Linked DNA regions of Oryzias latipes. The protein of the gene in region 1 interacts with the protein of each later gene in a pairwise test. Links are inferred from orthologs where the notes say so. Each region holds a gene or a part of one and is shown in the gene's direction. Other genes may lie near its edges. The genes, in order: hsd17b14, nek6, mpg, ca8, cdkn2d, tbc1d22b and snapc3.

What was found.
Region 2: the proteins of hsd17b14 (region 1) and nek6 interact in binary tests that used the Homo sapiens proteins (3 or more experiments, as listed by UniProt). The two-hybrid records come from large-scale screens. The link is inferred for Oryzias latipes from reciprocal best matches to the Homo sapiens genes HSD17B14 and NEK6.
Region 3: the proteins of hsd17b14 (region 1) and mpg interact in binary tests that used the Homo sapiens proteins (3 or more experiments, as listed by UniProt). The two-hybrid records come from large-scale screens. The link is inferred for Oryzias latipes from reciprocal best matches to the Homo sapiens genes HSD17B14 and MPG.
Region 4: the proteins of hsd17b14 (region 1) and ca8 interact in binary tests that used the Homo sapiens proteins (3 or more experiments, as listed by UniProt). The two-hybrid records come from large-scale screens. The link is inferred for Oryzias latipes from reciprocal best matches to the Homo sapiens genes HSD17B14 and CA8.
Region 5: the proteins of hsd17b14 (region 1) and cdkn2d interact in binary tests that used the Homo sapiens proteins (3 or more experiments, as listed by UniProt). The two-hybrid records come from large-scale screens. The link is inferred for Oryzias latipes from reciprocal best matches to the Homo sapiens genes HSD17B14 and CDKN2D.
Region 6: the proteins of hsd17b14 (region 1) and tbc1d22b interact in binary tests that used the Homo sapiens proteins (3 or more experiments, as listed by UniProt). The link is inferred for Oryzias latipes from reciprocal best matches to the Homo sapiens genes HSD17B14 and TBC1D22B.
Region 7: the proteins of hsd17b14 (region 1) and snapc3 interact in binary tests that used the Homo sapiens proteins (3 or more experiments, as listed by UniProt). The two-hybrid records come from large-scale screens. The link is inferred for Oryzias latipes from reciprocal best matches to the Homo sapiens genes HSD17B14 and SNAPC3.

The regions. Positions count from the first base shown.
Region 1 is NC_019866.2:3,307,114-3,311,373, reverse strand, and holds the start of hsd17b14 (17-beta-hydroxysteroid dehydrogenase 14), read left to right. Parts: upstream 1-1,460; 5' UTR 1,461-1,630; coding exon 1,631-1,712; intron 1,713-1,787; coding exon 1,788-1,826; intron 1,827-1,911; coding exon 1,912-2,003; intron 2,004-2,099; coding exon 2,100-2,166; intron 2,167-2,264; coding exon 2,265-2,356; intron 2,357-3,079; coding exon 3,080-3,184; intron 3,185-3,254; coding exon 3,255-3,322; intron 3,323-4,251; coding exon 4,252-4,260. UniProt on the Homo sapiens protein: Catalyzes the NAD(+)-dependent oxidation of L-fucose, yielding L-fucono-1,5-lactone, which rapidly converts spontaneously to L-fucone-1,4-lactone. Can also act on D-arabinose and L-galactose, with lower catalytic efficiency. Does not use NADPH.
Region 2 is NC_019870.2:24,939,309-24,943,557, forward strand, and holds the start of nek6 (serine/threonine-protein kinase Nek6), read left to right. Parts: upstream 1-1,449; 5' UTR 1,450-1,555; intron 1,556-1,900; exon of another isoform or gene 1,901-1,919; intron 1,920-4,249. UniProt on the Homo sapiens protein: Protein kinase which plays an important role in mitotic cell cycle progression. Required for chromosome segregation at metaphase-anaphase transition, robust mitotic spindle formation and cytokinesis.
Region 3 is NC_019866.2:8,193,694-8,197,477, forward strand, and holds mpg (DNA-3-methyladenine glycosylase), read left to right. Parts: upstream 1-1,296; 5' UTR 1,297-1,463; coding exon 1,464-1,724; intron 1,725-2,372; coding exon 2,373-2,577; intron 2,578-2,721; coding exon 2,722-3,176; 3' UTR 3,177-3,284; downstream 3,285-3,784. Other genes in the region: GATOR complex protein NPRL3, read right to left, coding at 3,762-3,784. UniProt on the Homo sapiens protein: Hydrolysis of the deoxyribose N-glycosidic bond to excise 3-methyladenine, and 7-methylguanine from the damaged DNA polymer formed by alkylation lesions.
Region 4 is NC_019875.2:20,920,516-20,924,015, reverse strand, and holds part of ca8 (carbonic anhydrase-related protein), read left to right. Parts: intron 1-1,095; coding exon 1,096-1,287; intron 1,288-1,476; coding exon 1,477-1,601; intron 1,602-3,500. UniProt on the Homo sapiens protein: Does not have a carbonic anhydrase catalytic activity.
Region 5 is NC_019859.2:10,441,412-10,445,508, reverse strand, and holds cdkn2d (cyclin-dependent kinase 4 inhibitor D), read left to right. Parts: upstream 1-1,297; 5' UTR 1,298-1,417; coding exon 1,418-1,642; intron 1,643-2,987; coding exon 2,988-3,341; 3' UTR 3,342-3,917; downstream 3,918-4,097. Other genes in the region: ap1m2 (AP-1 complex subunit mu-2), read left to right, coding at 1-2, 164-239, 334-359. UniProt on the Homo sapiens protein: Interacts strongly with CDK4 and CDK6 and inhibits them.
Region 6 is NC_019865.2:4,883,452-4,886,951, reverse strand, and holds part of tbc1d22b (TBC1 domain family member 22B), read left to right. Parts: intron 1-2,260; coding exon 2,261-2,431; intron 2,432-2,594; coding exon 2,595-2,665; intron 2,666-2,769; coding exon 2,770-2,898; intron 2,899-2,977; coding exon 2,978-3,043; intron 3,044-3,500. UniProt on the Homo sapiens protein: May act as a GTPase-activating protein for Rab family protein(s).
Region 7 is NC_019859.2:16,549,255-16,553,475, reverse strand, and holds the start of snapc3 (snRNA-activating protein complex subunit 3), read left to right. Parts: upstream 1-1,421; 5' UTR 1,422-1,468; coding exon 1,469-1,701; intron 1,702-2,217; coding exon 2,218-2,301; intron 2,302-2,382; coding exon 2,383-2,461; intron 2,462-4,221.

The DNA.
Region 1 (4,260 bases):
AGAATATTTGTGAGTGTGAGAGTGCCTGGGTGGGGACAAGCCTGGGGGGGGGGCTACCCTGCCGGGACCTACCCTCCCCACTGTAGGGTGGGCACCGGGGATGGATAAGGGAGGTGTTGGGTCAGGGGGTTGTAGAGGATAGTGTAGTGTATGGGGGGGGTTGGAGCTGTGGTTGCTTGGGTCGGGTGCCTGGGCCTGCTGTGGTGGGCGGCGCCTGGGTCCTCTGGGATGTGGCCCCGCGTCACGGTGTCCAGCACCCGGTGTCCAGCACCCGGTGGCCCCAATGGCGGCCGTCTGATGTGCCTGTCCTGTGGCCTTGGGGCCCAAACGGTGGGCTAACCTGTGCTCCGCAGTGATGGAAGGGCCCCCTAGGGTGTCCTTAGGACGGTCCCCTCCATTTGGGCCTTGGGGCCCAAACGGCGGGCTATCCTGTGCTCCGCAGTGATGGAAGGGCCCCCTAGGAGGGTCCCCTCCATTTGGGCCTTGGGCCCAAACGGCGGGCTATCCTGTGCTCCGCAGTGATGGAAGGGCCCCCTATGAGGGTCCCCTCCATTTGGGCCTTGGGGCCCAAACGGCGGGCTATCCTGTGCTCCGCAGTGATGGAAGGGCCCCCTAGGAGGGTCCCCTCCATTTGGGCCTTGGGCCCAAACGGCGGGCTATCCTGTGCTCCGCAGTGATGGAAGGGCCCCCTAGGAGGGTCCCCTCCATTTGGGCCTTGGGGCCCAAACGGCGGTCTCCTGCACCTTCTCTCTTGGTCCTACCGGTCATGCTGGGGAGGATCTGGTCCCCCTAATGATCACATGGTACACTTTGGCAGCGTGCTTGCATCTCCCCCCCCCCCCCCCCCCCCCCCCGGTGTGCATGTGCACGTGCACACTTATCCCTGTCTGCTTTATCCCTCCTCCTAACCCACAGATGGACAGATATCTTCCACTTATCTTGGTGTCAGATTTTCACTTTTGGATGTAACATTTGTCTTTCCAGCAGAAATAAAATATATATTTAAAACATAAAATATAATAAATAAATAACAAACAATTAAAATAAAAACCTAAAAGGGGTTTATACAGATATACACCTTGGCTGTCAGAAGATCCATAATAGTCAAATCTGTCCAACTCAAAAGGCTTTCAGCTCTTGTATGTTAGCTCGGTTGTTGGACAGGACAAGTTAAAATAAAAACACCACGTTTTTCGGGTCTAAAGTTATTTCTGGGCCTCTACCTTTTTATTTTATTTTTTAAAGGAGAAATAAAGACAGGCTGACTTAACAAATTTTAAAGGAACTTCAGAAATGTTTCCTCTTTTTATCTAAATTCTCACGAAACTGTCAGTTAAAAGGAGAAGTAATATATTCGAAAGCAAATTCCTTTCAGATTTTTAAAAAAAAAAATGTTTTTAATAGGATTGAAGAATTTCAGAGTTTCCAGTCTTCCCAGCGGCGCTTGAATGCAGCATAGTTTCTTTTTCGGTGCAGACGCAGACCTTTGCCCAGTCGCGGTGTTTCTGTGAGTCTCCCGCAGAGCACAGACCCGCCGCTCGCCTCTCCTGCTGCAGGACGCTGCGGGACGCACCGGCTCGCGGCTTTGCGGCGCTTCCGTGCACATCCGTGCAGGAAAAGCGCAAACACCATGTCCTTCCGCTACCTCGGCAAAGTTGTTATTGTGACTGGAGGGTCTAGAGGAATCGGCAGAGGGATTACCGAGGCCTTTGGTATTGGATCTGTCCACATTTCCAAATGGGTTGCAGGTTCAAGTCCAGTTCCCTGAAAGTCTGTTTGTTTTTCAGTGAGAAATGGAGCCAAAGTGGTGTTTTGTGCATTAGGAGGTCAGCAAAGAGACAGTCTTTCCCTTTTCTTGTACATTATCAAATTAGGCCTATTTGAAGTGTCTTAATTGTGTCACTATTGCAGAAGGTGACACTGTTGAGGCAGAACTGAACAGAACCGGACCAGGATCCTGCAAGTTTGTGAGATGTGATGTCACCAAGGAAGAGGACATCAAGGTGAAGTTCTGGGTTATTACAAGAATCCATCCAACCAGACTGGCGTTTTCTGTCATCCAGTCTGACGAGGGGCTTGTTTCCCACCCACCTCCACAGAGGCTGATCTCCTCCACCGTGGAGCTGCATGGACACATCGACTGCTTGGTCAACAACGCAGGCTGGCGTGAGTCTGCTCAAACCTCTCTGGCCTCCTGCAGACGTGTTGAAGACATTTTTGGAGACCTTTAGGTTGCTGTTTTGTTTGTTTGTTGTGATTTTCAGACCCTCCGCACAAATCCATCGATGACACCACAGCTGAGGAATTCAGAGATCTGCTCAACCTGAACCTCGTCAGCTACTTCCTGGCTTCCAAAGTAAACTTTTCTATGATTAGAAGAACATTTTATTTTACATTAGTTTCAATTATTTTGAATAAAACTGCAAAATCACTATAAAAAGAGCCTTTAGTAGTAAAAATATGAAAACATTGGTTCACAGTTTTCTTTTTGTGTTAGTTTTTAGTACCAAAGATGCTTTATGAGGACAACATTTTGTTTTAAGGATTTTCTTTTTAATTGTAGTGTATGAATGTCCAAAATAGAAAATGAACTTTTCCTAATAAGAACCCTACACTCTAAAAAAGAAATAAGTTTATCTAACTTAATTAAATCACATCATCCTCTCAACTCTAACTCATGGTGCAGAAAGAAAGAAACACAACAGTTTAAATTAAAACAGCTAGACAACAAAACACATGGACTCACACTTAAACCCCAATCTGCCTAGATAGGCAAAGAAAATGGTATCCCACAATTCTTTATCATGATGTCTTGACGCATTGACAGCTTCACACCGAAGTTACACCAACTTAATCAAATTAAGTTGATTAAAAGTAAAATAACAATGTCATTTTTAAGTTTAATGAACTCAAAAAACGATTTATTTTCACCAAACTGAATAATTAAATTAGATCAATGTGAAAAAGTTAATATTTCCAACTACAGCCCAAATACTTTTTTTAGAGTGTAACAAGAACCCTAATCAGAACACAGTTAGGACTGTTCTAACATCTTGTGTCCTTGTGTGTCTCCCTCCAGTTTGCGTTGCCATATCTGCGGCAGCGTCAGGGAAACATCATTAATATTTCCAGTCTCGTGGGCTCTATTGGTCAGAAAGATGCAGTGCCATATGTTGCCACGAAAGTGAGTGAATTTGGAAGGATGTTCTTAAGGCAGTCAGGCGGCTCCTGTAATGCGCTACTTTCTCCACTAGGGGGCGATCATCTCCATGACGAAGGCGATGGCTGTGGATGAGAGCCAATACCACGTGAGAGTGAACTGGTGAGGCATCCCAACTTCTCCACGCCTTACTTTAAGCTGAAGAATAAATTACTCAGTTGTGACCACATTGATAACTGATGTACATTAAGGCAGTAAAACCATCCCTTTGTGGTTTAGTAAGAACATTTATGCACTTTTTTAAATATTTTAATGCTACTTTTCAGATATTAATTGAAGAAAGAACAAAATATTAGTATATATGTATTTGTTTTTCTTAAGTAACTATGAATGTTTTCTTTATGGACTTCCATCTCTTGATACTAAATTTAAATCTTAATGTATGTGCCATAATATGTCCTTTGTTACTTCCTCTGGCTGTAACTCCCTAACATGTATTTATTTATTTATTGCACGCTTTGGAACTTCCATCCTCCCCTCTTTTTTTTATTGTACTCATTTTTTTACGTTCATCCAGACCTGAACTACAAACTACAAACAAAACGAAGCTGGACCAAGAATGAATGTACATTTTATTTGAGGAGAGAGGAAAAAATGTATGTTAAAGTGCAGGTACACTGCAGTCACAGAAGCTCCTAGTTTTTGTGAGCTTTTTCTAGTTGTGTTAAAAAACAGAACATTAAAAGCCTCATTTCTAATGCGGCAAACTAACAAACATTTAATTATATAAATTAAAAATTGTATCACATTAATCTGTGTTAAACATAGTTTCTGCAGAGCAGCAGGATTAAAAAAAAAATCTGCTCCTGATTCACAACAATATGAAAAAAGAAATATATAGAAGTTAAATTTAAAGCTTGTTTTTTTAAATCCTCAGAAAAAGATGTCAATAACATGTTGAAAACACCCAAAACTCTATTATCATCTAAGTGGGTCTTAAAGGATATTTACTAAAAGAAAGAAAACTGCTTTTATTTTGACATCTGTCGGTCTTTTCTGCCCTGCTAACACCTTTGTGTGATGTGGGACAGCATCTCTCC
Region 2 (4,249 bases), on another chromosome or scaffold:
CAACACTTGTACAGGAAGACAAAACAGGTAAAAGAACAGAATCAACACAAAATAAAGAAACTGAAGAATGAGAAAAAAGGACAGAAAAGGAGAAGAAAAGCAAAGGGTGGTGAAGGTTTTATTTTTATTGAAACCACTCCACAGTGAACTGGTTTGATCAATCATTTGTTTTTAGTAAATCCTGACAAATTAAAGAAAAGACAGAAGCTCATCATTTGTTCCTACTAGGAAGTGAGGGATTAACCCATTAGTGCATTCATTCATTTCTAATTAAAAACAATTTATATAAAATACATTTAACATTTAAATGTGATTTAATTTTTTCGAAGCAAATCAAAACACCTTGATGCTGTCTAGAACTAACAGATGTTTTACCCTATAAGGATTTAACAAAAAGAATATGAATATAAATGCTGCAAAGGGTCCCATATTATTGACACACACATTATATATTATTATTATAACACACACATTTGAACACAAACATACTAACAGGCACAGACACTAAGAAAAACACTAAAATACACACAAAACTCAAACAAACATACATATTTAGTGTGTAATGATTAATAGATTAATCAATAATTCGATTTCTATTCCTACCATCCAACCAGATCAATTTGTCCGAGGCAAAATTTTCATTAAATCGACCTATATCACTGTAAAATCTTTTCAAAGTAAAATAAATTCATTTTATCAATATTGGTAATTGCCGTTTATTGAAACAAAGATTTATTTTACTATGATGTAAAAACAACCAAGTACCATCAAAGTGGACAACAGACGTGATGAAAGCGAAAACTGACCACAGTCCATCATTCCAGTCCAATGTGTGGAAACACTTTGAATGTCATGTGACCATCCAGTGTGCTAGAATGTTCTAATAATGTTTCCTTTGGATTCTTTGGATGTGGTAAAACAACTGAACTCTAGGAAACTATAATGTGAATGGGTTTATCATCAATTCTGGTTTACTTGTGTGATTATACACATATTTAATTTACACTTGAAAGTTATCCATTGCATCTGGAAAACGTCACCTTCATTGAACCAGGAATTATCTCGGAGTCACACTGGTTGAGGTTTTGGCTGAAGATGTTCTGGATCCATTTTAGGTCAGTGAATCGGATCATTTGAAATGAACCAAAGTTTTGAATCGAATCAGCAACCAAAGGCTGTGATAGAAATGGAATTGTTGGTGAAAGGAATGGTTACATCCCTGTAATAACTCACGCACGCACACGCCCCTTTTGCTCGGTTCGTACAGAAACTCCCCACGTGGGAGGAATCCGTCCTGGAAACATGTGGCATCTGCGGTACCTGCTCAGGTACGTTGGGGGGGTTGTTTCTAACCCAATGCTGCCACGCCGCGGGAACCCACGAGCTGCGAAAAAAGGTTGTCACGTGTTCTGAATCTGAACGGCAGAGAAATCAACCGCGCGTGGCGGCAGCAGCTGAACAGCAGCAGGAGGAGGAGGTTCTGGGGAATAAATGAGCGGACCAAGAGCGACGGAACACGAAATGAGAGCGGCCGCAGATCCAAATTCTTCCTGAGGTAGGGCTTCAGACGCACTCTTTGCGTGACGTGTTTGCTGAACTACTCTGCGTTTGGACGGCGAGCTGACCGTGAGTTTCCACGCGTGTGGCTCTGAGACGCCTCGCGCTCATTTGCTCGTTCCGGAGACCCAGAACTCTCGGTTCGGGGCGTCAACCACCATGTAGAAACGACGTTTGTGACAGGACCGGGGACGGAAAGACCAGCAAGAAGTCCCCCCATCTGCTGCAAATGTATGGAAAGCTGGATGTGTCAAAACCGGTGAATAAAAAAAAAAAAAAAATCAAGACAGTGTCCATCCGTACATCATGTTCAGAATTCGTGGGGCCAGCCCTGACCTTTTTTCTCGGCCCCAAGTCTTAAGGTTAGTATTATGGTTGGGGTTTCGGGTTAAACCACCAAATAGTTCCTGAGCGCGGCTGTGTTTCTGCAGCTCAGCGTCCTCCAGGGGACGGATCAAATGATGCAGAAAAAACATTTCTCACAGCTACTGTGTGACAGATAAGTTTCATTTTAAATATGTGCGGCCAACAACCTTGGATGCACTTAAAATACATGCGGGCAAATGCAGCAGTGCACATCTTGGCTGCACGAATTAATGAAGATGATTTTCCATCGCTGTTTGTGCTGGGCGGTCGCACTTGAGAAAAACATCAGCCTTGAATCAAATATTCTAAATGCGTTAAACTATAGCAGACCAGTATACGGTAAATCAAAACATGGCTGTCTATGAATGAAAATGGACAAAAAAAATGCATCTTGTTGGTATAAGCTACATGTGAGGTTTATTTATTTTTTATTTTCACTAATCTTTTTTACGTACAGTAAGCTAAAGTGTCAATTTATACAGATTTTGTTATATAACAAGTATTTAACAGGTTTGATCTGAAATGATCTACGCTAACTAACTGACACCGCTGCACGTTAGCCACGTTAGTTTTTTTTACAATAACACCCAGCCTTTTTTGCAAGTCCTAAAAAACATAGTGACATTTTGACAGAGCGCCATATAGCTCTCAAAATCACTTAGATATCAGTAAACATATCCAGAATTATACCATGGTCCGGTAGGGTTGTGCGATATCATCGTCCATCGTGATGGGTGACTGACATCCCGATGGAGAGACCACCATCGTGATGCCACGCCCCCGCCACGTTGCGCGTCGACACCATAAGCCGCGGTTACATGTACAAAATATCTTGATGGGATCAATGGTCGGATTAGAATCCAACCGTGTACATGGTTCCAGAAAAATGTTTTTAGAATATAAAAACGTTCACTAAGGTCACACTTTCCGTCGGAATAAATCATTCGCACATGCGCAGTAGGGTTTGAAAAACGGAAGGATATAAACTCCGCCGAGCGGCTTTTTTTTTTTTCAAACTTTATTGTATGTAACAATTCAATACAAAACAATGTTAAACAGCGCCGAGCGGCTATATACATTGACATGTCAGCTCGGTAAAATACGAGATGATCTTCTAAACGTGCTTTTAATAATGTTACGGTTATTATGAAACACCTGTTCGCTCATCATTTGAATTTTAATCCGTGTGGTCAGTGCTTTTTCTGAACGAAGCCAGGATTAGTATGCTAACACGGGCTAACAACATTAGCTTTGGATGGTGCTGCTTGCTGGCTGCACGTAAACATGTAAGAATAACATCAGCCTTTATTTAGTCGGGACACGACTGGAAACACAAATCCACGTGATTGTTTGAATGTTTTCTAAGGACTGAGCGACATTTCTGCTTTGATGCTCAAACCGCTGTGTGTGCTGACGATCCGAGCTGTGCTCAGACACACTTTTAGACCCGGTTCTGAGTTCGGTTGCTTGTACCCCTAGAGCTGCGGGACGGATCGCAGTCTTAAATCTCCCACACATACCGCTCATGTACCCCCCCCCCCCCCCTTCCCATCAAACACAAAGCTTTAAGTCCGCACTCCCCCGGAAGTGCGGGAGCGGACTACTTCTCTTCTATTTTGTTTGTTACTTTTTTTGTTAAAGTCACTTCCCTCAGTTTATACTGGATCATCGCGGATTGGGAAATAAACATCGTCAACGGCCAATTTAAGGGACATCGCCCAACCCTATGGTCCGGGTGAATACTCGATTCTGATTGGCTGCTGGGTTTGCAGTAAGAGGGATAACGCACAGTGATGTCCGCACGCCCCAGAAAGAAGTTCCTATCTTAAATCTTCTTTATCACTGCACGGCTTCTTTAAAACAACCTTTAGCTTCATCATCTGGACAAAAACAAGCGGGAAGAGGAGAACTTTGTCTCTGAGCTAGGCCTGCACGATATGAGAAAAATCTGCGATATGCGATATCAGTGTTTGAAACGGCGATGACGGTATGACTTGCGATAAATGGACAAATAGCAAAGCAAAAATACAAATGCGTTTCCATTTCACTGTGATAGTTTTATTTAAATAATTCAACAAAACTTAAAGTGCAAATAATTTCTAAAAGAAGACAAATATTTAACAGTACTTTCCAAAACTAAGATGAATGATTAAGAGGAAATAAAGATGCCCTTTTTTCTTCAAAAAGAAGGAAAAAGTAAGAACTTTAGTTCTGGCCAAAACTTAGATGAACAAAGAAGAAAAAGATAAGAGGCCCAAAAACACACATGTGACATACTGATAACAATAAAGAACACTATCAGTATGTTTCACTAAGGCAAGTTCTT
Region 3 (3,784 bases), about 4.9 Mb from region 1:
TGTTCCCATTTCCAAAATAATCTTAGTACTTTAAGACATTTCAAAAGACGACACAATTGTTTTGACAGTTTCCTGACAGGAAGAGCTTAAAGATGAAGTTGATTCAGGTGTGCATTTTGGAAAAAGTTAGTTGTCATCCAAAGACAAAACTATGGAGTAAAAATACATTTCTTATAACAACTGAATTGTTAAATTTCTATAAACCTTCACAAACATTCCTAATTATAACCCTAATCTATTGTAGGGTACCACTTCTTGGCAAATTCTGCACCGCAACAGCTAAGAAACACTCAAGACAACAATTCCATGTCTCTGAATCATTGTTTTACTGCAATATCTTTAGTCAGGCTGCACACCGCCCATCCATCTGCACAAACAGATGAATCTACACTGAAAATGAAAATGATCCAGAATGCATTGCCAAAATGTGTCTGCTAAGATTATCAGTGCCAGTAAGTATGAAAGTAGCACGATTCACACTCTACGGGCAATGGAAACACAGCCATGGCAGACAATAGCATTCAGGGGTCCGTCAGCCATGACAAAGTCAACAGTTCGTGTCAGGGGAGTAATGCTGGAAATGTTGAACAGATTTTTGTCTGGAATTTTTTCCCACCCAATGAGCAGAGCAGGCCTTCGGGGTCATGATTACTATTGAGAATGAGAAAACAAAATGTCAAAAGCCACAGAAAAATTGTATCTGTTTTGTTAAATCAAAAAGTGAATTTTTTTTTTTAATTAAGTGAAAATTAAACAAGTGTGAACATTTCTTGCATTTGTAACCCTAACCTTAACCCAATTTTAAACTTAATTTTCTTATATGTCCTCCGTCATGAGAAAATTACAAAAGGCATCAAACATCAAAAACATAATTTTCACTGAAGTGGGCATTAAAAAGAATTTTTTTTCCCTCTAATTTATTTTTATTTTTTTAACTTATTTCTGAGGGGGGTGGGGGGCTTTTTGCAGTGTAACCCTTAAAAATAAAATAAATAAATAAAAACTCAGCAGCAGAACCAGAGAGGCTAAACTGGCGCTGCCCCCTTAGTTTCTGCAGAAGCAGTCACGATCCTGACGGTTCTCTGTTCTATTAATAATCCATCGTTATCCAAACGAGGCAGAAAAGATAAGAGTGCAGCAGGAAAAGGCCTCACTTTGCAAAGAGGCTTTTATGTTTCAGCCCTTTATGTCTGAGAAAGTTAAACAGAGGAGGACGGGGGTTCACTAACTTGGATAAAGGTCTAAAAAGAAAAAGGGGTGACGGCCCCTTTAAGAAATTCAAAACAATCGCCTACTTCCTGTTTGGCTGGATTGGAAACGAAATGACAACAAACGGTTGAAATGAATTAACACGTATGGTTCGCTGACTTCATTCACACACAATTGTTTTTCCTAATTCACAAGTGTATTTTTATGTATGTATTTATTTATTTTTTGCCCAATCGCAATTCAGATAGGGCTACATGGCGGGGACAAAAAGAAAGCTGCCAGCTTCTTTGGCAATTTCCTCTGAACACCCCGAATCTGCGAATACATTTCCAAACCAAACGCAAGCGAAACGCAAAATGTCACCTGCCAAGCTAAAAAAGCTAGTCATAAGTGAAAATATTTCAAATGTGACGGCGGAACAAAGCCAGTATTTCACCAACGACCTGCAGCACAGACTGGGAGAGGATTTTTTCCAGCAGCCCTGCATCCGTTTAGCTAAAGCACTCCTGGGAAAGGTAAATCTGACACATTAGCTTAGTTCTTTCTCACACAAAAAAAACATCTATAGTTTTTAAGAGTAGAACCAACACTTGAAAAAAATGTTTATTTTCAGTGAAATATCTGTCAAATGTTGATATTTTTGTCTTAAAGTTTCATCATCTTTTGACCTATTGTAAAAAGCCAAAAGCCATATTCGTCTACTCCTGATTCAGAATGATTTGAATAAAAAACAAATGTCCAAAATAAAAATTTAAGCTTTATTTTCTAAAAAAAAAGTCCTCCGTCATGAGAAAAATCCTACAAGACTACGCTATTTTCATTGGAGTGGGTCTTTAAAGACATTTCTTTTTTCCAAATATAAGAATTTTACTCAACTTGATTAATGCTAAACTTAATTTTACAATCCTAAACATCATTTGCCATCAAAAGATTTCCGTAACCATTTTAAAGCAAAATATGCCTACAAATAAATTGTAAGAATTAAAATATTTGAGGTGACATTTTTCATTTAGAGATGTTTATTCATGTTCTACTTGAGAGCTGATGAAAAAAAACATTCTGATCCACAGTGTCAGATTTCCATTGTCTGTAGAACTTTTAATCAGTTTTTCACAGGTGGACAGAGGATCTTTTTTTAAAGGATGCGGATCTACTACGTGCAGGTTCTGGTCCGCAGGCGTTCAGATGGCACAGAGCTGCGGGGGAGAATCGTGGAAACCGAATCCTACCTTGGAGGCGAGGACAAGGCCTCCCACTCAGCTGGAGGCAAACGCACCGCCAGGAACTTAGCCATGTTTATGAAGCCGGGAACCATTTACGTCTATCCCATCTATGGGATCTACCTCTGCATGAACATCTCTAGTGAAGGTAAAACCATCCGCCCTGCTGTGAGTGCATATACTGTGTCAATGTTTGGAGTACTAAAGATACTCAGCAGTTTTGTTTTCAATCATATGTTGGTCAAATCAATCGTTTTGCTGACGGATGTCTTGTATGTGGGGCTTCCTTTAGGGGAAGGAGCCGCTGTGCTGCTGCGTTCTCTGGAGCCCCTGCAGGGTCTGCCTATCATGCGGGAGCTGAGGGCAGCCAGACGTAGAGAGAGCGCCCGCCAGCTGAAGGACAAAGAGCTCTGCAACGGGCCTTCGAAGCTGTGCCAGGCTCTAAATATACCCCGCTGTTTCGACCGGCGAGATTTAGCCTCAGATCCAGAGGTGTGGCTGGAGAGGGATCCAGACGAAAGTCCCATAAATCCCCAGGATATAGTGTCAGCGCCGCGCATCGGGATCGAATCCCACGGGGAGTGGGCCAAGAAGCCTCTGCGGTTTTATCTTCGCGGACATCCTTGTGTTAGTGTTGTGAATAAAGCAGCAGACGGGCGGTCTGGAAACGTCGTGAAGGATTTAGGACCCTCAGAAGTGCAGTCTGGGACAGAACGGCCCGATGTGAGAAGAACCAAACAGGACTAATCCTGAAACTACTCTCCCAGTTGTTTCATTTATAAGTGAAAGCCAGACAGTTTTAAACATAAAAAAACAGTTACAATTGTAATAGATTACAATAAAAAGTTGAACAAATCGGAATCAGGAATGCACATAATCATCTAACATTTACACTCCAGGGTCCTCCTCATCAATTTCACAGATGTTTGGACATTTCTGCTTTTCTCAGAGCAAAATCAAGCCTCTTTGATGTTTGGACTCCTCCTCCTCTTCCTCTTCCTCAGCACCTTTGGGATTCCCAAAGAGAAGTAGCTGCAGGCCTGGTATGATCATTACTCTCCGCTGCTCTGTAACCTTCACAGACGACACAGCATAAGCTCTTTCTGTAGGGGATGTCATCATCTTCAATAATGCAATTCCTTTTATGTACAAAATAATTTATTGTAAACAAACATTTGTCTCGAGGAAAAGAAAAATACTTTTTCGATTTGAGTAAATTCGCACACTTTAAGGCAGTCGTCGTTTGAGTTTGATGTAAAATGTTGGTTGGAAAAAACAAAAATTCCGTTTGGAGGACGGGAATCAACCCCACCCACGCTTTTCTCCGTGTCGCTACTCCATGGGCGACTGGAAGA
Region 4 (3,500 bases), on another chromosome or scaffold:
GCATAATAAAAATAAAAATGTCAAAACCAGAAATGCTTTTTCATTTGCAAAATGAAGCTGCATTTTTTGACTCAAAATTAAAATGAAAAAGCAATCCACCAAAATGCTTTTTCATTTTCTACTTCAACACTACTTATTCTCTCACTTAATTAAAATGATAAAGAAAATGGTTTTTGACATTTCATTTTCAAAAATTTCTCTGGTAAATGTGTAGCAAAATTCATTTAGAAATGTCTAATTTGACAATTAAAATGATTCACAGAAATGCTTTTTAATTTTCAAAATGTAACTGCATCAAAGGACTCAAAATTAGAATGAAATGTCAGTCCTTTATAATGCTTTTTCATTTTCTTCTTTAACATCGCTCATTCTGTGACATAATTAAAGTGAAAATGCAAAGAGGGAATTGCATTTTCGTTTTCAAATTCACCCGCAAAACTGTAGCAAAATTCAATACCAGTGAGCATTTCCAGGGGGGTCAGTCTGGATGGTGTCTTTTTTAAATAACTGAAGTGCCAACTGTTTGAAAATTGTTAATGTAGAAGAATTTTATCAATGTTGTTTGTGCCCGAGCGGAATTATATGACACCAAGTCTTTCATGTATTGTAATGAATGGAAAAGGGCTGGAGGAAGATTGACGAAATTTTACCCCTTCAACATTTTGCGCCAAGCCTCTTCCAACTGTACGTGGTGGAAAAACGCTAGTAAACAGTAGGTAAAAAAAGAAGTAGAAGGAGCCACTCCCTGCTTATTCAGTGTAAACACCATTGGCTAAGTGTGCGTTCAAGAACCCGCATTTAGTGCGGTCTTGAACGCGCGTCACACTTGTCCGTAGCTTGACACTCACTAACTTAGTTTTGCACTCTATAAGGAGCTCTAAGCTTCATAAAATCAACTCTAAAGCTGCTTTTTTCATGTGTCTGAGCTGCAGGATTCAGTAACATTTTTTTTTATTTTGATGTATTATAATCATTTAAATTTAACCATCCAAAAATATTTTGTAGTAATGTCATAAGGGCAAACAAAGTATGCAAAAATGTGGTGCGCTATTTACGAATGTGTGTGCGCTTTGTTTATTTTTTGTTCATGTGCAGGTGTAGAATGGGGACTCCATTTCCCAGCAGCCAATGGTGAATACCAGTCTCCTATAAATTTAAACTCCAGGGAGGCCCAATACGACCCCTCCCTGCTGGACGTGGGCTTATCTCCAAACTATGTGGTGTGTCGAGACTGCGAAGTCGTAAATGACGGACACACCGTCCGCATCCTCCTCAAGTCCAAGTCAGGTGACTCCTCTTAACCCCAATGCCACACAGTTTTTATTCTGCCATTGGTTTGTGTTGGCTGAAGTACCAACAAACATTCCCTTTCAAATGACCCCCTTTTTTCTCAAATTCCGTGTTGCTCAAACACTTTACTAACCTTACTGTGTGTGCTACCCACAATCCCCCTGAGTTTCCTTTTTCTTCCTCTAGTGGTTACAGGGGGCCCGCTACCCAGTGACCATGAGTATGAACTTCACGAGGTTCGGTTCCACTGGGGCAAGGAAAACCAGAGGGGGTCAGAGCACACAGTCAACTTTAAGGCTTTCCCCATGGAGGTAAACACACACACAAACACACACACACACACACACACACCAGCAAGGTTGTGCCTCCAAAGAAAACACAGCGTTCCCACGTTTGCCCTCCTGGCACTAGCACTGATCCTTCCTTTAGATAACACTGGGGCTTGTTGAGTTCTTGAACTCAATGTTTTTCTCTCTGACAAAATAACACTTTTGATAAAAACACTAAAGGTTTTTTTTAGTGTTCAGGTGTTAATGTTACAGGCTTCAACTAAAAGAAGCCTGTAAGTTCCATGCATCTATCCTCCTAAATAGGATTAAAAGACCTCTAACTCACCCAAAGATGAGTGTGGTTTGTAAATCTATACTATGAACAACTGAGCAAAAAGTAGTCTATTAAGTGTATAATAAGAATACTATACTAAAAGTAAGGCAGTATACTTGAAGTTTAACTTTTATATACTATACATATATTGTAAACTTCAAATGTTCCAATTTAGTCTGAAGAAGTATTCGGTTAGTATTCTTCCTATACTACAAGTACGTGGCATACAGTACACTTGCATTCTTATGCTCAAAGTATACTTTATAACATAAACTATTTTTTTGCTAAGGGTAATCCAGAACAGTAAAAACTCTTAAGTTTTTAACGATTTCATTTGAATTATTAGGTTTAAACTAAGAAGTATGTTTCATGAACAAAAAAGTCATTATTTTTCAATTTAATTTGAATTTAAAAAAAGGTTCTCCTAAACCAGGTTCTCATTCTAAACAAACACAATGAAAAGCCAAAATTAAAAACCTCTGAACACACTAGATGGAAAATGTATGAGAACGTAAGAAGAGAAGTTCGTTAGAGTTGCTTGGTGCATTGTGGGAAATCCCCCAGAGGAATTTACGGGACTGGGGGGGGGGGTTTGGTGACTAAAGTCTGCTTATCATTAACAGAATTTTAAGAATTTTAAGGTACCATGTCTTAAATCAGGTTATACTTATTGAAGCACAACTTACAAAAAGGGAAATAAGGTCAGAGAAAAAGAAATAATGTGAAAAAGAAAGTTATACATCAACAAAAGGGTTTTACTGTGGTGTCTCATTTAATCCTCATGTTTGCAAAAGGGCTGTATTAGATGTCTTAGAGACCCACTCCAATCATCTTTTGATTCATTGTAAAAGCGTTCCCAATGAGGATGCTGCTTTTAGCCAAAATGTTAAAAAAAAAAACTGTGTTGTTTGGGAGTTTATTATAAATTCACCTCTAAGTTGTGTGTAGGACTGTTGGTGCAGAGCACGCTCTGCCCACCCATAACTGAGAGCTCTCTGTTTACATTCTCCCATTGGGTTAGGTTAGAGCCCCTCACACTACCGGTGCAACACTAATATTTGAGCTCTCCAGCTGTGCAGTTTTGAGCCAGATGTCAGCTCAAACGAGGAAAGCGAAGACATGCATGGATCTATAAGTCATCAGAATGGAGTGGAGCAAAGAGCTTGTGGTGTATTTTCTACATCACAAATAAAATCTTTTTTAAACAGCATTTTTTTTTTGTCATCTCCTGATTTACAGTGATTTGAACTAAAAAAATTACTCATAAATGTAAATCTTGGCTTAATTTTCTTCATATGTCCTGTGATTGTGGCCCTGTGTCAGACTGGCGACCCGTACAGGATGTCCCCTGCCTTTGCCAACGAGTGGCAGGGATAGGCTCCGGCAGCATCCTGACCCCGAAAGGAAAAAAAACGGGTTTAGAAGATGATTGAATGAATGAATGTCCTTCATCATCAGAAAAATGCCACAAGAGCATGTTAAAAACACAAAAACACGATGTTCATCAGAGTGAGTCCTAAAACAGTCTGACAGAGTCTGGAAAGGGTCTCTATGTCTTCAAGTGATTCAAGAAGACAAAGAGGAACTCTGGTATTAGGTTATCTTTG
Region 5 (4,097 bases), on another chromosome or scaffold:
AGGTATGAATGCTTCAAAGTGTTTATTATATCAGTTGCCAATTACTGTATTGTCATTAAGACTTTTAAATAGTTTTTTTTATGTCCATTGACTTGTTTTGTCTTTGCCTTCTAATCTATATGCGATAATAATGTGTCATTTAACTTTATGCATTTTTTTTCAGGTTCGGTATATGAAAATCATTGAAAAAAGTGGCTACCAGGCTTTACCCTGGGTGCGCTATATAACACAAAGTGGAGGTATACTATAATAATTACGTATATTTGATTAAAATTCAAGTATGAAGTAGACACTATCTGTGTTTTAAATTGTGTGCATTTGTTGTTGTTTTAGATTACCAGTTGAGAACAAATGCCTAAGTAAAGCCTGCAAGATGCTTTACTGCATATCTCCAGGACTTCCAGAAGAGCACAATGAATTTTACCTTTTATCTGCACCTGAAGAATTTCTTTAATTTACTTCTTTTTTGTGTGTTTTAACTGTTTTATATTAAATCTCCATGCAATTTGATTTTATTGTCACCTTTTCAGATCTTTTTAAAATTGTTGAAATAAGATTATTCCTCTGAAAACAACTTGTTTTTTGTGCACCTGTTTCTTTGTGAGTTGTTCCTTGAGGACTTTATATGCTGAATTTAGCAGCCGTGGTGTGGTTCACCACCGTGCAATCAGTGCCGGCAAATTCCGCCTAAAACGAAAGACATGAACCCGCCTTTTTTTCCACACTGTTGTGAAGAAATACAACCAAAGCGTGGAAATGTGAATGGACTGTCTTTGAAGAAACAAACGAATACGAATCGCCCGCTTTCTTCGCTTCGCGCTCTGATTGGTCAATCCCCACTGTTACCACAGTGATAACGTAGTAACAGAGTTGTAACCACGCCTCTCTTACCATTTATGGAAGTACAACGCCTATTGGGCCACCTGTGATTGGCCAGCATATCTACTCTCCAATGTTTGTAAATTGTCGGCTAGATCCACTACTGTTTGGATCTCAGCGCGCAAATGTATTTGTCAATGTTTATAAACTCTTCCATTTTGAATTGTATTTAAAAAATAACCGGACTGCGGTGTCGGCGGGCTGAAAATTCGTATCGAGGATTCGGATACTAACGTATTGACGAAGGTAGGATTAAAGAGCTCGGTTTTTACGGTTAGCTTTTAGCTTTTCTGTTAATTTTCATAACTCTCTGTCGATGTGACTTAAGTGTCGGCCAATTTTCTCAATAAAAAAAATATGGATTTGGATATTTTCTGCCGTTTGATTAGCCCAAACAACCAAGTCAAAAACAGTACGCTTACAGTCACGTAACATGGCGTCACCGTAAAAACTACAAGTTACGTTAGCCGGATGTTGTTGTTAGCTAGGTGTAGCCGACAGCAATCTTCCTGGCTTTTTCAGTCTTCCTCGTGCATTTATGTGTTTTAATGGCCCAACTGTGGTTGATTTTCATGGTGTACGGGGCGCGTGTGCTGTTGAACAGGCAAGAACGGAGTTTATAATGGTCCTCAGTCAGATGGACGCTGGCAAAGCGTTGACGGCGGCGGCAGCCAAAGGGAATACCAGCGAAGTGCAGCGGATCCTGGAGGAATGCAGGGTGCATCCTGATACCCGGAATGAGTTCGGCAGGACGGCGCTGCAGGTGAGACCTGTCACGGTAGTAAGACATTAGTCATCTGTAGGCGGTTGGTTTGCTCCTCCACTGTATTTACAGCCCGCTATAAACATAAAACTCTCAACACTTGTTTCTTATAAAATCTTCACATCAAAAAGTGAGCTAAATATTTTTTTAAACCATCGTAATATACAAGGAATTGACTCTGCGCAATAAATAAGTCGCGCATGTTGCCAAATTAGTTCAGTAATGAATAGCCGCTTCCAGGAAGTTGCGCTGTTCCTGTTTTTGATACTTTTCACAGTAAAATGTTCGACGACACTTTCTGTAATTTGCAGACTTGACTGTACCGGAAATCTGATTTAGGCAACGGGGGTATTTTTTTTTTTTTTTACATTTGAGCTGCTTTAATTACGAATAAAAACTGTAAACACAGTAACCACACAACAATTACTATTCCAATATTTAATTAACCCAACATGCAGAGATTTCAAAGTAAAATAGTGGTATTTGGGTGGGAAAAAGGTTAGAAATTGTCCATTAATATTTATTACTAAGTACTGTATTTTATTTAATATATACTATTTATTGGTATACTATGGTAAACTAGTATACTATTAAATATAAATACTATTAATACTAAATCATCAAACAAGAATTATTGTTTTATTATTTCAATCCTTCACTGTGTTATGACTCCGTATTTTTAGAATTTAAATGTATTGTTTAGATGTTTTAATGTATTTGTAAGCAGCCCAGTACTCCCTTGGAATCTTAATGGGAATATCCTGATTAAATAAAGGTCAGAAAATAAAATATATTACTATTATTGCTGATGTCTCTGGAGCATCAGTGCCAGTGGTGGAGATACTAGTTGGTGCAACTTTTTCCCTATTTCCTTCATGGTCGAGTCTGTTTATATACTTTTTTTTAATGTACACTTCTATTATTCGGTAATTTTCCATTTGTGTTTTTTATGAAAAAGAATAAGTTAAAAAAAACGTGACAGAAATATTTTTTTTCTCCCACTTTTTATTTTATTTAATTAGAAGATTGTAAAACATGTTAAGTCAGGCTACTTGACGTGATGATACTGCATTTTTATAGCACACATAAAAAAATAAATGCTTTAACAAACTGTAAGCAGAAAAAATGAAAATGTTCTTTTTCAGGTTTAGTGCAGATCTCAAAGTAAAAGCTGTATTTTATTTAGTGTATTTGTTTTTTATGACAGTTATATTTTTATTTATTTCTATCTCTTATTATGGATGGATTTTTCTTTTCAAGCAAAAGTGAAGGCGTTCTGTAAAGGAAGTTGCTGATTTGTGCATGAGGGCTAATAAATATGCATACAATATTTATTTTTGAACAGGTTATGATGATGGGGAACTCCAAAATAGCAAGCTTGTTGCTGGAGAAAGGAGCAGACGCCAACGTCCAGGACAAACACGGCATAGCGCCTGTCCACGATGCAGCGAGGACAGGGTTCCTGGACACCCTGCAGGTCCTGGTGGAGAATGGAGCTTCGGTGAACATCCCTGACCAGAACGGCGCCCTGCCCATCCACATTGCCATCTGGGAAGGCCACCGCGATGTCGTGCAGTTCCTGGCTCCGCGTTCCAACTTGAAGCACGCCAACCAGAGCGGTCAGACGGCGATAGATGTAGCCCGAGCTTCCTGTGTGCCGGATATGATGGACTCACTTTTTGCTCATATACATAGTTAGAAAAGTTTTCTTCTCACTCGTCGTCATTCTTCATTTTTTTTTGGCTTCAAACCTTGTGACTTGAACTCATTGCTGTGTAAAAGATTATTTTTTTTTGTTATTTGTAGCTCAGCATTAATATGTGACACAAGACATATTGTCTTGGCAGCTTATTTTCAGTGGATGGGTGTCTATATACTGTAGATACCTCTTTTGCACAGTGCAATTTAGGCACCTTATACTTATGCATATATCTGTTTTCCCTTTTGACTGGGAGTGCACATTTGTATAAAGTTTCCGCAGTGTTTCCTAACTATTTCTATTGTGTAAGAATTCATACACGTGTGTTTCTTTTTAAATTACAAAACTTGACATGGTGCACCCTCGTTGCTTTGCCTAGTTGTTAATCTGAATTAGATGTACTTAGACTTTCAATTGACTCTTATTTATTGTTGGACTGAACATTTCCTGTGACGTTGTAAATACAAACATATTGTGATTTGTTTAAATGTTATTTATATAAAAACTTTTACGGAAAAAAGTGAGATTATTCACTTTAATATTTGAGGAAAAACAATAAAAGTGTTGAACTTCAAAGCGAAGTGTTTGAATTTTTCTTTTTTTAACTGATACTTTAAGTGTTCATAGCAACAGGAAAGTAAATGTGAAAAAAGGGGAGATGAAGTTAAAAAAAAAAGAAAATCATGTTGTTGCCTTTATTTTTACTGATTTTGTTTTCTTTTTTTTATAAGGAACCCACCTTTTGTATTTTCTTTC
Region 6 (3,500 bases), on another chromosome or scaffold:
AATGCAGTTTTTAGCCAAAATCCATAAACCGTGTGGGTTTTTTTCTAGGACATAGTTTCTGCAGAGCAGCAGTAGTTCAAAGGTTCATTCACCTTTGAGTTGTGGGTGGGACTAGCTTTCAGCCCCTCACCTAACATTTCCGGCGTGACAAAAATGGCGAGCAATATCGGAGCTATCGGGCCGTCCAGTTTGGATCCAGATTCCAGCTCAGACAAGGAAAACGAAGGCGTTCATGGATCTGCAGGTGGATGCATCAGAATGGAGCAGAGCAGGAAGCTTGTAGCCCGCCTGAGACCATCTTTTTCAATCGACATTTTTTCCTCTGCTCCAGCTATTTATATAAAGAAATACTCAAAAATGCATTTTTATGCTTAATTTTCTTTATACATTTTTTTCAACATCAGAAAAATGTCTCCGAAAAGACCAAAAGTACCATTTTCATTGGATTAGATCCTTAAATCTGACGTCATGTTTTATAATAATCCATCAACAGTTACCGCTCAATTTGTATTTTAGTAAAAAGTTCTATAAAAACTTAACAAAACAATAAAAAAATAGAGTTTATTGATGTAAGTTTCCTTCCTGTAGTTGAACACAGTTTGACAGATCCTCTCAGGCAAAGAAGCTCTGAGATCTTCAGGGTTCTTAAACGGGGACCATTAATACCAAAGCAAAGCCTTGTTCTTGTTCTACATTTAAAGTTCAGCATGTGAGGATCTGAGGGTTCTAGATGATCTGTGATGGGCCATTTAGTCTGATACATATGGACTGATCCAAATAAATAAGAACAGGTTTTTTCATTCCTACAGTTTCTTTTATGCAGATGGTCTGTCTGTTTTATGAGCAGCTGCATTCATCAAACACCTGCAGCTCCATTCACAGGTCACCTGAATCCCTCCTGCAGTTACTCATCCTGTAAACAAACCAGAAGAAAGAGATGATGGAGCTTTTCAATAACTTCAGCTGCAGTTTTATGAGACTCTCAGCGTCAGACAGTGGGAGCCCAGAAGAGTCCCTGCTTTTTTTGTTCTTCGGGAACAACTTGAGCTCTATTTATTTGATTTCTTCTTCCAGATTATCTCTCAGTAAAGTTCAGATCTGTACTCCCGCCGTCTGATGATTCCTCATCATAAAAATGGAAATTAAATTCAAACGATAAAGTTTTGAGCCACATCCATTCACACGAGTCAGTAAGAACTGGTGACATAATTTTTTTGTTTCTCATTTTAGAATAATCTTTGTTCATCTTCATTTTACCTGCATTGTGTTACAAAATAATCATAATCATATTCAATCTTCTTAAATGACACTTTGCAGATTTAAAAACTCAATGAATTTGGTTACTAATAAAATAACTAAAAAAAATTTAACTAGATGTTATTAAAAATGATTTGAAAGGAAAAAACACCTATTGTTTAAAAAAAAAAAAAGACCCAGAAATGACAGTGGGGAGAGTCCACGATGCCCTCATCTGCTTGAGCGTTCAGAAGCCTGCAGTTTTAGAAAAACAGCAAGATTGTCTCACGTCAGTCACAAGAAGAAATGCAAAGTTTCTCTGCCTGCTCAGTATTCTGTTATGAGGCACAGATTTGAATGGTGGATGATAGAGACCAGTAAAATGAATCCCAGTATAATCGGCTGTGAATTGTTCAAAACTCGGCTGCTGGCCTTTTAACCACAAAGAAGGAGCACATGACACCAATTTTGAAATGTCTGCACTGGCTCCCTGTCAGATTCTTTCATTAGTCTTAAGGCACTGCTTTTAGTTTATGATCCTCCCGGAGCCCTCAGGTACACGTCTACTGGGGTCAGAACAAAAACCCACGGCGAGGCCTCATTCCAGAACCGTGAGCCTCGCCTGCAGAACAGACGTGAGGGCCTCGACTAATGTGGACAGTTTTTAAGAAAAGCTGTAATCATTTTAGCTGCTATTAAGTAAGTTTTACCTTTTCGTCTGTTGCTGTTGTGCCCTGTCAGCTTTGTTTTGGAATCTTTTATTGATTTCATGGGGCGTTTCTTTTGTTTCAGATGGGTTTGATGTGCATATGTGGTGGATTATTATTTATTCATGATGTAAAAAGCACTTTGAGGTGCTGCTCAACTGGAAATGTGCTCTACAGATAACGTTGAATTTGGAAACATACTGTTGATATGTGCTGAAAATCTCTGAGCAAAAGGCCTTTATGGTTTCATTCCTCCTTAAGTGTTTTATCCCCTACTGAAGTCGGCAGAGGTTCATGGGCGTTTTGTTTCTCCTCAGCAGTTCGCTCCCCCCTGCAGAAGCAGCAGTCGCTGCCCGTGCGTCCCATCATCCCTCTGGTGGCTCGCATCTCTGACCAGAATGCTTCAGGAGCCCCCCCCATGACGGTGCGGGAGAAAAACCGGCTGGACAAATTCAAGCAGCTGCTGGCGAGTCCCAACACTGACCTCGGTACTGCGGCGCCGCAGACACCTCCTTGTAGATCTCAGTCAGCACATCAGGAGTGTCACTTTTGAGTGTTTGAACAGCTGTTGCAGTTTGTCCACCTCTGCTGTGAGGTCTGCAGAGAAAACCCGGAATGACTGAGGTCCTCTCTCCTCCCTCCCTCTCACAGAGGAACTCCGGAAGCATAGCTGGTCTGGAATACCGAGAGAAGTCCGGCCGATCACCTGGAGACTTCTATCTGTAAGGCTCCCAACCTGCAGTGTGCAACGTTTATCAGTCTAAACCTCTCCCCTAACCCATCGGAAACATCATCTTCTTTTTTTCTGCCCTTGACCTTCTTACAGGGATACCTGCCTGCCAACAAGGAGCGCAGAGAGCTGGTGCTCCGCCGAAAGCGGGAGGAATACTTTGGTTTCATTGAGCAGTATTATCACTCCAGAACAGATGAGCACTTTAAAGACACGTACAGACAGGTGAGGCAGAACTTTAGTCCACACAGAAGACAAACCTCTGACCTTCTGGCAATAATCTTTTGGACCCTCTTTCTGTCAGATCCACATCGACATTCCGAGAACCAACCCTCTGATTCCGCTGTTCCAGCAGCCCGCCGTGCAAGAGGTTAGATGTGCGCGAAAGGCCTCTTTGTCTTTAAATGGAAAAGTTCACCGTTTTGTCTCGGCGTGTTTGGGTTCATCTGTTCAGCATCAGTCAGTGGCTCAATCAGCTCAGTGTCAGCTCCCTGCAGCCTCCACCACACCAGTCTGAAAAGACGTCATCCGCAATCTAAAGTGAGACCGGAACAAGAGCAGACTGTGCTTTTTCCTGTTTCACAGCTCGTCTTAAGCAGAAATGACGTGGTGCATGTGGTGACCGCAGAGGAAGAAGCTGCATCTGATACCAAACCTCAGAGGAACTCTGCTGTCAGAGACGATCTGCACTGACCTCAGCTCGTTCCTCAAACGTGGCTTCAAGCTGATCCAAATTTAGATTTGTGAGAAATGATTCAACCTCAGTTTTATCGCAGCACAACTGACATAGTTTGATTTTGTTTTGAAGCAAACATGTTAAACACTTA
Region 7 (4,221 bases), on another chromosome or scaffold:
TGAATACGCGCACACACTGCCGCCCCCCCATTCTCTCCCGCTGCACGCGCTCTTTTCCTGTCCCTTACACAAACGCGCGCGTGCGTGGGCCCAATACATTCCACAACAGTGGTTACAGACGATCCCGGCTCCAATGCCTTCTTAAAAATGGGAAGATTGTTATTGTGCTGGCTCCTTTGGGAAAATAAATTTATTAATGAAAAAAGAGCTCCGCTGTTGACAACACTTGTTGACATCCATGTTAACGTAAGCTACTTCCGCAAACAACGAGTGACGTCATTCGACGTTGAGTACTCTTCTGCGCATGCGGGTCAACTCTGGGTCGTTTCACGGTCACACTGTAGATCACAAAAGTTCGGATTTACTTGGAAATGTGAACGGTCTAGCAAATAATTCGGATTTTTTCAAAAAATCGGAATTGAGCATTAAGCCCTGCAGTGTGAACGTAGCCAAAGACTGTTTCTGCTGAAGGAAGATGAGTTTGGAGCTCCAGCCCTAAAACCTCTTTACATATGCAATGTTCAGGAAGCCCCTTTGAAATTCAAAGTACGGGAACCACACACAGTAAACCTGAAAGAGAACCTTCAATGAAATAAAGATAAGATAAAAAGCCTAAGAGAAATAAAGACCAAAAAAATATAAATTCCTTCAATAGCTAAGGTCCACTTTTTCCTTAAGTCTGAATCCATTGGAAACCTGCAAGAAAAATTCAGTCACTGAGTCAGAAATGTATAAATCTATATTACTATAATAGCCTAGTATGCTGTATATACAGGTTTAGCAAAATAAAATGTACATTTATTTCGACAGCAAATTATCCGTACATCATGCAGCATGTTGATAACAGCCCTGCAGCATCATGCATGTCAACATGTGTATGATTAATGAAGCCCCTGCAGCATTATAAGAAAAAAATGATAGTCCTTACCTGTGAAATGATATACCTTCCTCCTTCATGGACTCAGTTCTCTGATTTTGGCAGTTGAAACCCGCACAATGAACTGGTATTATGCAAAAAATGTGTTCACATGCATGCACTGCAGTAGTAACTCGACCTCACCAAGATGGCGGTGCTCTCCTCCCATGAGGAACCACGTGATGTCTCCTCTAGTGATATAACTCATTGGGATTAACATATTTGAGTTGACTGTCAGGCTCTTGCTTACACAGCCTACGGGCATTAAAGACAGGAAAATCCACAAAGAAAAAGTTAAAAAAAAGAATTTGAGTAATGTGGCTTAAATTCATTGAGAGGCTACATACTTTTAAATGTTGCTAATTTTCATGGGAGCTGTGTGGAAGTTAATGACAATATGAAAAACACATATTTTCAGAACCCGAAAGGATTCGTTTTATGCAAATAGTTTTGACATATAAATAAGTGAGATTATCCTACATTACCCATAATGCCTATCACACGGAAGAGTCCTCTTCTTCTACGTTTTTTTCCGTCCTCTTGTTTAGAAACATGGCGGCGTCCGAGCAGTCGTCGGTTCCAGACACAGACATCCCTGACTATGAATACATTGGCGTTAACACCAAACCGTTTCGCATCGGCTCAGTGCGAGACGGATGGCTGACAAGACTGAGGCCCAAGGATTATTCATACCAACAAGAAGACAAAGACACATTTGAAGCTAACTTTGCAGAGGCGATGGGGATCAGTGAGGAGACCATGGCTGAGCTCAGATCCGTCTGCAGGTAGACACAGCTACCTTGTTGTAAAGTATTTAGTGTGATTTTTGTAAAAAGTAAAAAAAAATTTTTTTTTAATAAGTATTAAACTTGTACCTCTTAAAATAATCCAAGTTGCAGCAGTTAAAGAAAGCGAGTTGCGTTGCTAACAAACGTTAAGCTAACAAAGAGGAAGTGAATTACAAAAATGTCCTTTCAACTTAAAATTCATATTTTTAACATAATTTTACTCCAAATCAAGCAGCTAAATATTTAAGAGTTATTCATTTAAAAAACACTTGTGCATTCACGTTTGGATGAATAAAGACAATTATTTGTAACACATCATGAGTAATGTTAAAAAAATACCTTTTACAAATTGTTTTAATTGATAATTTTTTAAACTTTGCCTTCTGTTGGAATTTTCTCCACAATCAAACAGGAAGTAGATTGACTTCTATCGAAAAGCTAATAAGCTTGAGGACATTCTCTTACTTTTGACGACTCTATCCCCAATCAGATGTCACACTTTTTTTTTTCCAGCCTGGATTCCCTTCGTTGCCATGCTGAAGATGAGCTGCCTGATACAGAAGTTGTTCCTCCAGACTCAACACTGAAAACTCTGATGTAAAAACATCTCACTAAGAGTTCTGCTGTTTTAAGCTCCAATGCTGCTTGATGAAGTATCTGTTCTCTTTCCTCTAACAGACAAAGAAAAAAAAGGCAAGATCACAAAGCTTCTCTAAAGGTCAACAAGAACCGACATGATCTCTATGCTGATGAGCTGGTGGGTTACTTTAAAGTCATTCAATCTAACTTGATGTTAGGGGATGAGAAAATTCACTTTTGTCCTTCTCTGTACTCCGATTTCCGATGGGTACGGTTGTTGATTGACTTGCATGTGAAATTGATCTTAACCCCCATTTTAATCTGCCTCTACAAAAGCCTGAGATCCTGCCAGTTTCTGCTGTGAAGGAAGGTAGACTGCTGGACTGTCCTCCAGTGTAGCAAATGTCAGACTTTCTATCAGTGAAATGGTCATTTTGGTAGGTTTTTTGGCGGGGAGAAAGAATAGGTAAAGAATGCCAGTTTCCAATTTCTGCAGGGGTAAGTCATACGTCGTAAGCAACAAAAACATTTGGAACAAAAACCCACTATTTAGCATTAGAAAAACAACCACAAAGCTGAGAATGCAACATTTGCAGTAGCTGCGTTTACATGGGCAAAAGTAATCGAAAGACCGCCTGATCAGAAGAAAAATGCGTCATGTAAACACGCTGTTCGGAATACTCTGCCCCGATCAGACTTGTTCGAATCAAAATTTCTTTCCGATCCATCGAGATAGGTGGGTTATGCCGATTGTTTATCCAATCCTGTGTCACTACTGCTCTGGTTTAATGTCATGCATAGGCGATGTTTCGCTCCAGAGAAAGCTTTGGAGCTCAAACAGGACCGACCAGCTGCTCTGCAGAGGCCCGGTGTGAAGTGCCGCTCCGCTCTCGCCCCGCTGGCTATTCGCCTCTCCCCTCTTAAACCCTGCGAGGGGGTTAAGAGGGGAGGTGCGCTTTGTGCCTCGTGACGTCTGAACCCTGCCCGGTCTGGGCTCGGGTGCCGGTGGACCGAGCGAACTGTATCTCTGAGCAGAGCAGCTGGATTAGTAACTTTGTGTTTGAGGGAAAGGGAGGATGCTTTGCTGCGTGTGCGTTTTATTGTTCTGTTATGTCTGGAATAATTCGGACTGCAATCTGGGTTAGCGGCTGCCGGACTCAGGATAACCGTGTGTCCAAGCAGAGGTCGGAGTCGGACCGCCAGCTCACACACAGCGGCTTTGGGGCGGTGTGCGAACTTTTTAAAGCAGAAATGTCACTCAGTCCTTAGAAGCCGTTCAAACAGTCACGTGGATTTGTGTTTCCGTCGTGTCCTGACAAAATAAAGGCTGATGATATTCCCAAATATTTACGTGCAGCCAAGATGCATATTGCAGCGTTTCCCGCATGGATTTTGTGTTCATCAAACAAGGCTAATTTTGTTAGCGCGTGTGTTAGCCTCTCGTGGGAGCTGGAAGAACCCTGGGTTCCTCCAGTTCCTCCATCTTCCACAAGAAAAGCACTGACCACAAGGATTAAAAATAAAATGTTGACCGAACAGGCGCTTCATAATATCATAACATTAATAAAAGCAGGTTTAGAAGATCATCTGGAATATTACCGAGCTGCCAGTTGTCTACTGTGGCAGTTTGTTTACAACGGGACTCATTTCCCCTTTTCGGGTATTTTCAACACTACTACGCATGCCCAAATGATTTATTCCGACCAAAAGCGTGACCATGTGAACGTTCATTCTAATCGGAAAAAGGGTTTCTGGGCCCGTGTACATGGTTGAATTCTAATCTGACCATTGATCCAGTCAAGATATTTTGCCCATGTAACCGCGGCTAGTGATCAGGCTACGACTAAAGCAGGAAGAAGCAGAGGTACAGTCAGCGTCTCTTGATCTTATGGCAGTGAAGTGAGCAAAGCTACAATGAGGAAACTTGGAGTGTTTGTG